Rattus norvegicus: one gene and its partners. The protein of the gene in region 2 interacts with the protein of the main gene of each other region in a pairwise test. Links are inferred from orthologs where the notes say so. Each region holds a gene or a part of one and is shown on either strand. Other genes may lie near its edges.

Evidence for each region.
Region 1: the proteins of Crx (region 2) and Banp interact in binary tests that used the Homo sapiens proteins (3 or more experiments, as listed by UniProt). The two-hybrid records come from large-scale screens. The link is inferred for Rattus norvegicus from reciprocal best matches to the Homo sapiens genes CRX and BANP.
Region 3: the proteins of Crx (region 2) and Gcm2 interact in binary tests that used the Homo sapiens proteins (3 or more experiments, as listed by UniProt). The link is inferred for Rattus norvegicus from reciprocal best matches to the Homo sapiens genes CRX and GCM2.

The regions. Positions count from the first base shown.
Region 1 is NC_086037.1:66,915,275-66,919,260, reverse strand, and holds the start of Banp (protein BANP), read right to left. Parts: upstream 2,801-3,986; 5' UTR 2,740-2,800; exon of another isoform or gene 2,719-2,739; intron 2,426-2,718; exon of another isoform or gene 2,288-2,425; intron 2,280-2,287; exon of another isoform or gene 2,020-2,279; intron 1-2,019. UniProt on the Homo sapiens protein: Controls V(D)J recombination during T-cell development by repressing T-cell receptor (TCR) beta enhancer function. Binds to scaffold/matrix attachment region beta (S/MARbeta), an ATC-rich DNA sequence located upstream of the TCR beta enhancer.
Region 2 is NC_086019.1:85,679,053-85,683,260, forward strand, and holds the start of Crx (cone-rod homeobox protein), read right to left. Parts: upstream 2,801-4,208; 5' UTR 2,737-2,800; intron 1-2,736. UniProt on the Homo sapiens protein: Transcription factor that binds and transactivates the sequence 5'-TAATC[CA]-3' which is found upstream of several photoreceptor-specific genes, including the opsin genes.
Region 3 is NC_086035.1:23,857,101-23,861,178, reverse strand, and holds the start of Gcm2 (chorion-specific transcription factor GCMb), read right to left. Parts: upstream 2,801-4,078; 5' UTR 2,621-2,800; coding exon 2,531-2,620; intron 1-2,530. UniProt on the Homo sapiens protein: Transcription factor that binds specific sequences on gene promoters and activate their transcription. Through the regulation of gene transcription, may play a role in parathyroid gland development.

The DNA.
Region 1 (3,986 bases), on a different chromosome or scaffold from region 2:
TTCCAGAGAGAGCACTTTTTCCTGCCAAGACTTATAAACACTGAATGCTTTGGGATAATGGAAAGAGCAGACTGGAGAAGACATGACAACTACAGTGAGGAGTCGGGAATTAGATCCTGAAACAAAGCAAACAAAAGATGTCAGTGGGTGTAAGGTCTGTAATCTGGGTAGCCCTGCTGTTAGATATGATGAAGGGGAAGAGGAAGGCAGCTGTAGTCTCTCTGAAATCCTTAATCACAGGTGGGCTAAGTGCTCACCAGTGTGTGGGTTGCTGTGGACTCTGCTGCAAGGCCCTGGCGGATGCAGCCTACTTCACTAAGCAAAACTTGCAAGTGTACCAGCCCAATGCTTGGCCTTGCTATCCCTGTGCTATGGGTACAGCACACACTGCACTGCTCACCTCTGATCAGTGAACCATGATATGCTAGCTGCTTGCACTAACCCAACTAGACAGTGAAGCAGCTAAACTGAAGGGCCTAATCTCAGTGTCTGACCAGTCTCCTGCATCCTGGTGCCCTACCAAGATAGCAGAGCGGAAGAACCATCCATTCAACTGGAGGCAACCACAGAGACCATGATCTGGCACACATCCATTACAAAACCCAAAAATGTAAGGAGAGAAATTATCTGAAGACAACAGGCTCTAAAATTAAATTCCTGTTCCAGGTAAGTGGCCTTGAAAACAATCTCCGCTTACCCCATCAAAATACTTCCGAGAGTACAATAAACTCACAAGAAAACAGTACACAGCAAGCCTTCAGTTCCTGACAGAGGAGCTCATCTAGACAGCTTGGGGAACACAGGAGTGGGGCTCCCGGCCTCATCAGGGGCAGTCTCCACAGCCACCTCAGAGCCAAGCACAGCAGCTTCCGAGCAAAGGGAGACCCTTGAAGACAGATAAACAGCCCAGATAGAAGGTGTCTGCTATGTGCTCCTCCAAGTCTCTAGGTAAGAAGCTCTGGCAGATACTAGTGGGAAAAAACCATTTTAAAAACCTTCTCCACAGACCCTGGGTCCCCTGCCAGTTTCCTCTTACCTTAAGGTCTAAGTTTAAGCAATTATAATTAGCACTAGTGGAGGCCCTGCCATCCAAAGCAAGAAGCTAACACTTACCATCCACTCCTCAAAAGTGATACTAAATAAGAAATCAGAGAACTGAAAAGAACCCCTAATAGTTTCCTCAGCCCAAAGGAGAAAACGTATTGATGAAACAAACTACTGAATAAAAGGAAAAAAACAAATACATTCAGGAAAAAAAAATTTTTTTTTTTTTTGTTGTTTCGCTTTTCTCTGTGTAGCTCTGGCTGTGAACTCAGTCTGTAGACCAGGCTGGTCTCAGACTTAAGAGATCAGCCTGCATTTGCCTCCCAAGTGCTGGGACTAAAAGTGTGTGCCATTGCGCTCTGCTCAGAAACTTCAATTTTGTCTTTTTTTTTTTTTTTTCTCGGAGCTGGGGACCGAACCCTAGCAAGCACTCTACCACTGAGCTAAATCCCCAACCCCAGAAACTTCAATTTTGATTATGGATACACCACTCCCCCTCCCCCACCATTGGGTCTCACTATGTAAACGAGGTTGGCCTCAAACTTGCAAAGATCCACCTGCCTCTGTCTCCTAAGTGCTGGCATTAAAGTCCTGGGCCAATGCACAGAACAAAACTTAAAATATTAGGGCTTAAAGATAAACTGAAGCTCTTTCCTGGAATAGAAAGATGAAGAAACTCAAGTAGTGTACCCAAATGTGTGTCGCACATGGCAGGAATCCCTGAAAAAAGAAAATCGGGGTGGGGGGACAAATTCTCTTGGGAAAATCTCCCAGAGCTCAAGGACACACCTACTGAGCATACCTGTGAACTGTAAAACTGTTCCAATGCCAAGGAGACCTTAAAACCTTCCAGGGAGGAAACAGTTACCAGAAAGGAAGTACTTGGCAGAAGCTCCCTAAGGACTGAGAAGAAAGCAGACTGAAACACTGTGTCCTGAACTAACCAGGCGTGCAAAGAAAGACAGCTGGACCTACCTGGACGGGCCTAAAAGTCACTACCCCAGATTAGAAAAAGGCAGAGAGGAGGTGGAGTGAAGTCGAAGATTTAACACTATCTTCGAGAAGTTACATTGTCACCAGGAGCAGAGAAACAAAGGCCACTACAAACAACAAGGGATAAAAGCAAGGCTGTGCGGGACGGGGACATGACGCTAGGTGGGGAAGCGAGCACCAGTTATCAGCCCCGATGTAAACAGAGAGCAGAGCAGAGGCGGATGCGCCAGCCAGGGCGAAGCCACCCTACCGGGGCAGAGCGCCAAGAACTGCCGGGAGATGGGGCCACCTAGGCGGCAGGGCGGCGCGCAGGACCCGGGAGCACCGCGCGAGGCCCTGCACTGACAGACTGGGCGGCCGTGACAGGGGCGCCGGGCGCGGGCCCGGGAGGCGCCGAGGCTCCGGAGCCGAACGCGAGCGCGGCCGTCGGGCCTCGCCCGCTCGTTCGCTCCCCGGACCCCACACGCCCAGCCGGGAGCCCGCAGCCCCGGCGGGCGGAGGCGGCGCGCGGACATTCCGCGGCCCGCTGGCCCCCGCCCAGCCCGGCGTGCGGCCCGCGGCCGTTGGCAACGGTTGGCGGCGGGGCGGGGCGGGGGCGGACGGAGATCTCGCTCTCGCTCTCGCTCTCGCCCCGCGGGAAGGGGGAGTGGAGGCGCGACCGGCTGCGGGAGCTGCAATTACCGTGTGGGCTGCGGAATTCTCGTGGTGTTTGTCGGGGAGATGCGATAATGGCGTCCGTCCTCGCGAGAGAAGCAGCAGCTCTGCGCAGGCGCTGCGAGCACCTCCCCACAGCCTGCGCCGCGCCCTCAGCGCAGGCTCCCTGAGCTCGGGGCTCCAGGGAGGGGCCAGTCGGGCAGGGGGCGGAGCCTGCGCTGGGCGCCTCTTGCGCGCGCTTTCGCCGACGGACTCCAGTGAACATGCGCAGTTGTCCTCCCGTGTACCAAGAGTTGACTCAATAGGCCCTTACTTCCCCATCTCATGTCTGTGTTACTTGCTAAAGCAGTAAATACTCCAGTGGGCAATCTGAGGAATGTACGTCCTCTTTGACGGGTGTGAACGGACACTAACGCTGCCCTGATGACTACAAATCCCAGAGTACGCTGTGTAGGACACGATGCATTCTGGGACTGGTAGTCTCAGCGACTGTGACTTGCCTGCTGGGATTTGTAGTCCATCCTGATTCTGGTAGCCACATGCCTTCCCTGCCCTGAGGACTGCTGGGACTTGTAGTGACAGCAGCTCAAATGGGCTGTACGCTCCCAAACTGGTCCTACCTACTAGGCCTGGATCAATCTCGGACGTTCCGGACTCATTCAGTGGCATCGTCTCGCAAGTTGCCTGACTTCCTTAAGGATAAGCAGGTCTCGGGGACACTGTCACTGTAATAGAGATTATATGTGACATGCTTACATTATCATGCAATAAGAGCTATGAAGCATCGATGTGCATTTGTTCCCAGAAATGCCACTAATGGCGGTCTCTGAACCTAGTCTGTTGTCCATATTCCTTTCCAGGCTGGCTCCTTCTGCATGTTCGTAGTGAGCATTCCCACAAACCAGGATCCAGGAGCTATTTTAACTTAAAAAGAAAATACTTTAAGTTTCCTGTCCCCTCCCCGTGCCGATAATAAAGCCATGACTCAGTGCAGCTACCAGCTGGGCGACCTAGGGACAGCCCTTCTAAACCATTGTGCTCTGTCAAGGGATTACTTTTCCTCAGGAGTGTCTTGAAGATTTCAACCTAGAACTGTGCTGTTAAAATGAGACCTATCATTTACAGAGATGAGGATGAAGTCCGAAGAGACAGAAATTGCTGGGAGAGGCAGCAGCTGGAGCCAGAAGGGCGGGCTTTGGGCATCTGTGTGAAGTCTTAGAATTTTAATGTTGAATGCAAGTGGGGACCGGAGGGGGGTGGGGAGATGCGGAGAGAGAAAAAAAAATCCGTTGAAA
Region 2 (4,208 bases):
TATAGGAGTGCACTGCAGCCAGCTGTCTTCAGACACACCAGAAGAGAGCATCAAATCTCATTACAGATGTGATGGCTGGGAATTGAACTCAGGACCTCAAGGAAAGCAGTCAGTGTTCTTAACCACTGGGCCATCTCTCCAGCCCCTCCTTCTCACCCTCTATCTGGGTGTGGAGGCTTGCTCACATATGCCACTCATAGCCTGAGGCAGGAGGATTGATCCAAATTCAAAGCCAACCTGGGATTCATAAGCACACTCTGTCTAACAATGACAATGGGAAGCTTGGGGTATAGGTCAGCTGGTTACAGTACTTGCCTCGAATGTATTAAGCCCCTGGGTTCAATCCCCAATATCACATAAACTGGGTATGGTGGCACACACCGGTAATTCTAAAATTCAGATGATGGAGGCTGGGGGCGGTCAATGACATTCTAGGCTACTTATCATGTTAGAGGCTACCCTGGGATACATGAGCCCTTGTCTCAAAAGTGAGGTGGGGTGGGCATGGTAGAAATGGTTAAGTAGAGAAGAGTGCTAAGTGCAAAAGCATGAGAACCTGTGTTTACATTTGTAGCTACCATGTAAAAAGCCAGACATGGCTTTGTATGCCTGGAACTATAGCCTTAAGAAGGGTAGAAACAGGTGGGTCTCAAGAGCTAGCTATGCAGCCAGCCTTGTCAAAATGCCCTGTGCCTAGTTCACTGAGAGACCTTGTCTCAAAGCAATAAGGCAGAGGAGGAATAGAAGAAAAAACGTTGATGTTATCCTCTGGCCTCCAAATATGCAGGCATATTCAAATAGATACACACACTTCCATGCATATATTACACACATACACATACACACACACGAGAAGAAACAGTAACATGAGTCTCACACCTGTAATCCTAGGACTCTGTAGGTAGAAGTAGAAGGATCAAAAGTTCAAGGTCATCCTCAGCTATATAGCAAATCCAAGGCCAGCATGTGCTATAAAAGACTGTGACAAGAGAGAGAGAGAGAGAGAGAGAGAGAGAGAGAGAAATATGCAGCAGTAATATCGAACTTTGGTGTTCCTAGGATTTTTTTTTTTACTTTCATTGTGTTAGTGTTTTGTTTAATATTATGTGTATGGGTGTTTTGTCTGCATGTATTTCTATGAACACAAACACACCTGGTACCATCAGAAGAAGCCAGAAAAGTACCCTGGAACTGTAATTACAAACAGCTGTGAGCCACCATGTAGGTGCTTGGAATCAAAACCCCAATCCTCCTGAAGAGCAGCCAGTACTCGTAACCACTGAGCCATCCAACTCCCCATATTTTTTTTTAAGACAAGGTCTCCCTTTGATATAAAGTTTATGAAGTCCTAGCTAACCTAAAACTTACTCTGTAGATCAGGCTGACCTCAAGCTGACAGATCTGCTTGCCTCTACCTCCTGAATGCTAGGATTGAAGGCATACACCACTATGCCCTGCCACATGTCTCTATAATTTCATTTGGATGACCACAGGCCCTAGAAAAGTTTCTACAGTCATTGAGGCAAAAAAATTAGTAATATTGGTGTTTCCCTTCAAAACTCAACATCTATAACTTGAGTTCTTAGAAACATTAGCCCTGCTCTCAACTTTAGAGAAAGAATTCCAGTTTACTATGTTGAGCTGGCATTGAACAGAAATTAGCCACATTGGCCTCAACAGGATATATAATGTATATATTATATAATATATAATATATATATATATATATATATATATATATATATATATATATATCCTTACAAACAGAGAAGAAAAATCCCAAAGAGTTAAAGACAATACAAGTGGGAGTAGTGGTGTACAAAGATCAGGAGTTCAGGACCAGCCTCTATTACAGAACAAGTTCAAGACCACCCGATGCTCCATAAGACTTCCTCTCAATAAATAAATAAATAAAATTTAAAAGGTTGCGGGGGAGTGGGGAGATGGCTTAGTACATAAAGCACCTTCTGTGCATATGTAAGGATCTGAGTTCAGATCCCCAGCATCCAGATAAAAGCTGGGCACACTATAACCCCAGCGCTGGGGAAACAGGGACAAACAGATACACAGGGCTCACTGTCCAGCCAGCCTCAGCTCAGAAGGGAGATCCAAGTTCAGTAAAAGACATTGTCTGAGATAGGCTGAGTGTGGTGGTGAACACCTTTAACCTTAAGTACTTGGATGGCAGGGTCAGGAAGATCCATCAGATCAAGGCCAGCCTGGTCTACATAGAGAGTTCTAGGAAAAAATAGCAAACGGGAAGTATTTAGGAAGACACCCAATATGTCTATCTCTGTCCTCCACAGATGCTCTCTTACATGGACGCACACACTTACACACGCTGTACACATACATACATATACACATACATACATACATACATACATACATACATACATACACACACAAACATACAAACATGCTCACATACACGGATGTGTGCATTCCACCTCTGAACTCCCTCCAACCATGGTCCTAAGTGGCCTGTTTCCCTGAACACCTGCTGGAATCTCTACCCTACCTTAATTTATTCAGAAAGCATCACAGATCCATCTTTGTGTCAAACTATACCAAGCCCAGAAAACATGGACGAGTGAGAATAAAATCTCCTCTCTCTCGCTCTCTCGCTCTCTCGCTCTCTTGCTCTCTCTCGCTCTCTCGTTCTCACTCTCTCTCCCCCACCCACCCCCTCTCTCTCTCTTCCTGGTCCACTCAGCCTCTCCTGCAAAGACTCACCTTTGGAAAGAAGAAATGGGGGCTCTCCTGGATGCCCAGGTCCTGGATGGTGTCATCAGACAGCAGAGGCTAGAGGAAATAGGTCCCCTCACATGGGGTGACTTTAAGCCTGAGCTGAGAGTGATGTCATCTATTGTGGCCTGGATCTCGAAGGGTAATCCCAGGGAAGGTGGGGGACCGACTGGGCAACAGGAGGTGACATTGGCTGGGGGAAGGGCACCGTCTGCTTAATCCACCGCCACCACCCCCACAGTGACATCTTGGCAATTAGGGTTGATGAGGAAGGGAGGGAAGGAAGGCCCAACTCCTGCCGGCAACCAGGAGTCCCCACTCCTGGGGAAGTCTTTCCTTAGGTCTAACTGGTGTCCCTCCAGCATCAGCTATTATCTGGAAAGAAATGTCTTCAAAAGCACCGAGAAATGTGTACAGTGCTCCTGAGAGACTGGGAAGAGAAAGGCACAGGGCTTTCCGGGTTGTTCTTTGTGGCCCACGCTAGCGTTGAACTTGTAAATCTCCTGACACAGCCAGAATAACTGGGAAGAGATCTGTACTCTGGATGAGTGAACTAGTTCACATGTGTAGTTCCTGATGGTTCTCCTTCTTTTGACCTCAGGCTCTCTTTCTCTGTGTTCTCCATCTCTCTCCCTCCTTCCTCCCCTCCCTCAGTTTCCAACTCCATCTCTCTATATCTCTGCAGTCTCTCCACTGCTCTCTTTGTATCTTCTCAATTGCCTCTAATCTCTGCCTCTGTATCTTCATCACTAGCTCAGACCCTGTCTCTCAGAGTTTCTTTGTGTCTCTGTCTATGCCTCTCCCTGGGTTTCTATGTCTCTGTTAGACTCTCTGTCTCTAAATCTCTCTCTGGCTGTCTCTGTCAATCTCCACCTGTGTCTCTGCTAGACTCTAATCCTTGTCTCTGGCTGTCTCTCTGAAACTCTGCTTCTGGTTCTTGTCCTCCCTGTCTCTCTTCCTCTCTTTTTATCTCTGAGTGTTTCTGTGTGTCTGACTCTGTCTCTCTGTGTCTATTTTGTTTAGATTTGGGTTTTGTTGTTGTTGTTTTGCTTTTTTTTTTTTTCCGGAGCTGGGGACCGAACCCAGGGCCTTGCGCTTGCTAGGCAAGTGCTCTACCACTGAGCTAAATCCCCAGCCCCGATTTATTTACTTTTTATATATGAGTACATTGTAGCTGTCTTCAGACACCAGAAGAGGGCATCAGATCCCATTACAGATGGTTGTGAGCCACCATGTGGTTGCTGGGATTTGAACTCAGGACCTCTGGAAGAGCAGTCAGTGCTCTTAACCACTGAGCCATCTCTCCAGCCCGTTGTTTTGCTTTTTATTGGATATTTTTTATTTACATTTCAAATGTTATTCCCTCTCTCGGTTTCCCATCCATAAGCCCTCTATCCCATCTCCCTCCCCTTCTTGTGTAAGGGTGTTCCTTCTCCCCAATCACCTCCCCTTCCTGCCTC
Region 3 (4,078 bases), on a different chromosome or scaffold from region 2:
GCTGGAGTAACACTTTTTACATTTTTCTCCCAGTTGAATGAAATTCGGGGACGTTTTTCTCATTCGTCTAACCGCTGATCATGTAAAGGGAGGCAAAAACTTACAATTGACCAGCTGCCCTAAAAATAAAAGCATTCTATGCTTGCGAGCCAATAGATTCAAAGGTCAGTGTGCTAAAATAAATAAATAAATAAATAAATAAATAAATACAAAAAATCGGTCAACTCTGCTTCCACTTAGCAGTTGAAAGATTTATTTCATGCTTGTTCCTAATTGTGTGTGTGCATCTGCGTGTGGTATGCATACCTGAAATGAGACTTTATTTGCTCTCTCTAATGTGTTGGCAGCATGCATGTTGGCAGCCACAGGCTTGCACATACACACACACACACACACACACATGTGCACACACATGCGCACGCACGCATACATGAATGCAGCCATGTGTACACATGCTCACACATTACGAGATGACAGTTTATCTGAGGTAAATTTGAGATCGTTATCTAGGTTTATCGTTTGATGATAGGACAGCAGCCCAAGACTAACAAAGGTTCAAGGACACTCACAAGGACACATAGCCAGTTTACCTCACTTGCCTAATTAGTTAATTAGTTAGAAGAGCTAGCTACAGTGAGTGAGTGTGTGTGTGTGTGTGTGTGTCTCGTATGCATACCTGAAAGGAGGTTTCATTTGCTCTCACGTGTTGATATCACACACACACACACACACACACACAAGAGAGAGAGAGAGAGAGAGAGAGAGAGAGAGAGAAAAGAGAGCACGAGATAGATAGTTTTGTTATTGCTGTTTATGTCTCTGCTCCTATCCTTTCTCACGTGTTAGATATACTCCTCATTATGGCTTAGCAGGTAAAGGCATGGCCTTGCAAATTTGACCATCTGAGTTAAATCTCAAATTCTGTGGCTGAAAGAGAGAACGGACTCATGAAAGCTGTCCTGTGACCTCCACCCATGCCTCATGGCATGCACATGCCTCAAAGGAAAACTAATTTCTGTTTATCAGGAAGTCTACACATCTTTGAGGCCATGTCTTTAGTGTATCGTTTGGATCTGATTCTTTCTCAAAGTACAAGATTGGGTTGTTTCCTCTGAGATTTACAGTGGCAGAAGTCAGCGGTAATGAGACATGTGTACTGGGATCTCTTTTCAGAGCAGTCATTCTGGAAGATGGTGAAGGAGATGGGCTGAGCACGAGCAAGTGAGTCAAGCTCCATACACACATGTGCACTAACAAAACGCTGACCTCTGCCAGAGGCGCCATATCCCGCCACAGATCTCTCATCTCTGAGTATTATCTGACACAGCACAGAGGCCAAATAAATGTCAAGTGTCAAACCCTTCAAAAAAAATGTCAAAGGACTTTACTGGAAGCCCACTTTACAAATGCTAGGAAAGCAGTTCTTCTCCAACACTACGTTCATGTATGCATTTGCCTAACACCACATACACACCACACTCCACACCACACACACACATACCACATACACCATACACACATCCCACATATACCACACATACATCCCACATACAACCATCCACATACACACCACACATATACACACCATACTACACACATATACACACCACCCACACCACACACATACTACACAACACAACACACACACATATACCACATCTACACATCCCACATATACCATACCCACACCCATATACACCCATACACACACACACACACACACACACACACACACACACACACACACTTTTCCATCATTAGTCTTGATCTAAACATAAATTGCCAGGTTCATTCCTGTACTTGGCTCTGACAATGGAAAGACAACTTTACCCCGAAAGGGCAACCCTTCCACTGCTAGGGACCTGCGAGTGGAGCAAGGTGGCTTCGGCAGCCGGACTGGGATCTTCTCAAGCAGGTGCTGGACTTTCAGGCTGGACATGTGTTTTAGATTCAGTCACCTCCCAGTGCCTGGCTTGGCCATGTGAGAATTAGTGGTATTTACATTTCTCCAAAACTTTCTTTTGAACTTTGAGTAAGTGAGTAAGGAGTGAGGCTTTTTGTTGCTCTGTTTTAAATGAGGCTTTGCTAAGTAGCTTTGACTGGCCTTGAATTTGTACCAATCCCAAGTCTCCAGAGAAAGAGGGGGGGGGGGAGAGAGAGAGAGAGAGAGAGAGAGAGAGAGAGAGAGAGAGAGAGAGAGAGACTGACTCAGTTTCTGCCTTGGTTGAGAGAATAGGGAGTCTGGCTGACGACTTGGGAACCTAAGTCTGTATCGCTGTTGCTATCAGTGTGTTTCAGAGAATCTCAGGTAAATCGGTAAATCACTCTAAGAAGACACACCAATAAACTGAACTCTGCTCTCTCTAGAGTCCAACTTCCCTATGTATCCAAAGATCTGTGTGTGAGTGTGTGTGTGTGTGTGTGTGTGTGTGTGTGTGTGTGTGTGTGTAGTCTCAGCATGAGTTGTCTTGTGGTTTCCCCTTTGGCTGGACAGTGCCACATTTTACCCAAAGTGGAGTGTCTTCCTCACCTGAGGCATCTGCGGGTCATTGATGTCCCATGTGAGTTTCATCCCGTAGGAAAGCACAGGATCGGGGTCCTGCATGCTGTCTGCTGGCATCTGGAGGGGCCTGAAAGAGAAATAAAAGCAAGGAGCGCACAGGGTGACTTTTTCCCAAATGAGATGTAGGGCGAGAGGTGAGTGAAAGGAGGAGGAGGAAGAGGAGGGAGGGGACAGAGACAGAGACAGAGGGAGACAGAAAGAGAGACACACAGACACAGAGAGAAACAGAGAGATGCAAAGATGGAGTTAGGGAGACAGAGAGAGAAAGAGATAGACAGACAGACACAGATACACACTGACACACCACCCACACACAGAGACAGAGACAGAGACAGAGAAGGAAACAGAAAGACATACAAACACACGCGCGCACACACACGCAGAGAAACAGAATGAGACAAAGACAGAGAAGGAGAGGGAAAGGGAGAAGGAGAGGGAGAGGGAGAGGGGGAGAGGGAGAGGGAGAGAGAGAGAGAGAGAGAGAGAGAGAGAGAGAGAGAGAGAGAGAGAGAGGGGCCCTCCCATTGGCTGAGGTGCTGAAATGTATCCCTCTGAAGAGAAACAGGTTTGTAGAGACACACCCGGAACCTCTGCTTCTGTCCGGCTACCTCTCTTGCACCAGCCTCCAGCAGGCTTCTCTACCTAGCAGAGGCCTGGAATGCGGGGGTACTTAAAGTAAGTCACTGAGTAAAGGGAATTGAAGTTAAGCAGTCGTCAGTGGGGAGCAAGTAGGACCGTTTCATTTATGTGAAAACCAAACCCAATTGTCAACCTCTGTTGGTTCTCCAAAGGGCTTAGGTTGAGGCTCTGGAAGCAAAGTTTTCCAGCAGTCTCCTCAGAGTTAGTGCTAGACGGGAAGACTGAGGAAAACTGGAGAGCCAGCAGCAGGCACCTCCAGCCTTGGCACCTCCTCAGTTCTCTTGGGTCCTGCAGTCGTTGTTGCTCTGTTCCCAAGTCTGTGCTCTGTGGTTTGGTCAGAGAATAAGCCTAGCATTCCAGTAAGTTCTCAAACCTAAACACACCGTAGCTTGGGACATACCTGATCACCGAGAAAAGTCCTGGGAAGTAAATCTGGAGGATGGAGCCAGATGACCCTGAGATAGATGGAGAGGGAGAGAGAACTTAAACGGTACCTGGAGCTATAGTCCAAAAGAACTGCCTCCCTCTTTGTGCTTCCCCTCCTCTCCTCTCCTCTCCTCTCCTCTCCTCTCCTCTCCTCTCCTCCCCTCCCCTCCCCTCCCCTCCCCTCCCCTCCCCTCCCCTCCCCTCCCCTCCCCTCCCCTCCCCTCTCCTCTCCTCTCCTCCCCTCCCCTCTTCTTCTTCTTCCTCCTCCTCCTCTTCCTCCTCCTCCTCCTCTCTCCCTCCCCCTCCTCTCTCCCTCCCCCTTTCTCTCCCTCTCCCTCTCCCTCTCCTTCTCCCTCCATAGCTAAAGAAAACGAGACCAGGATTTTTGTGAGCTCTCATTAACCACTCGGAAGAACACCCACGTCAAAGCAGAACGTATTGCTGGTGTTG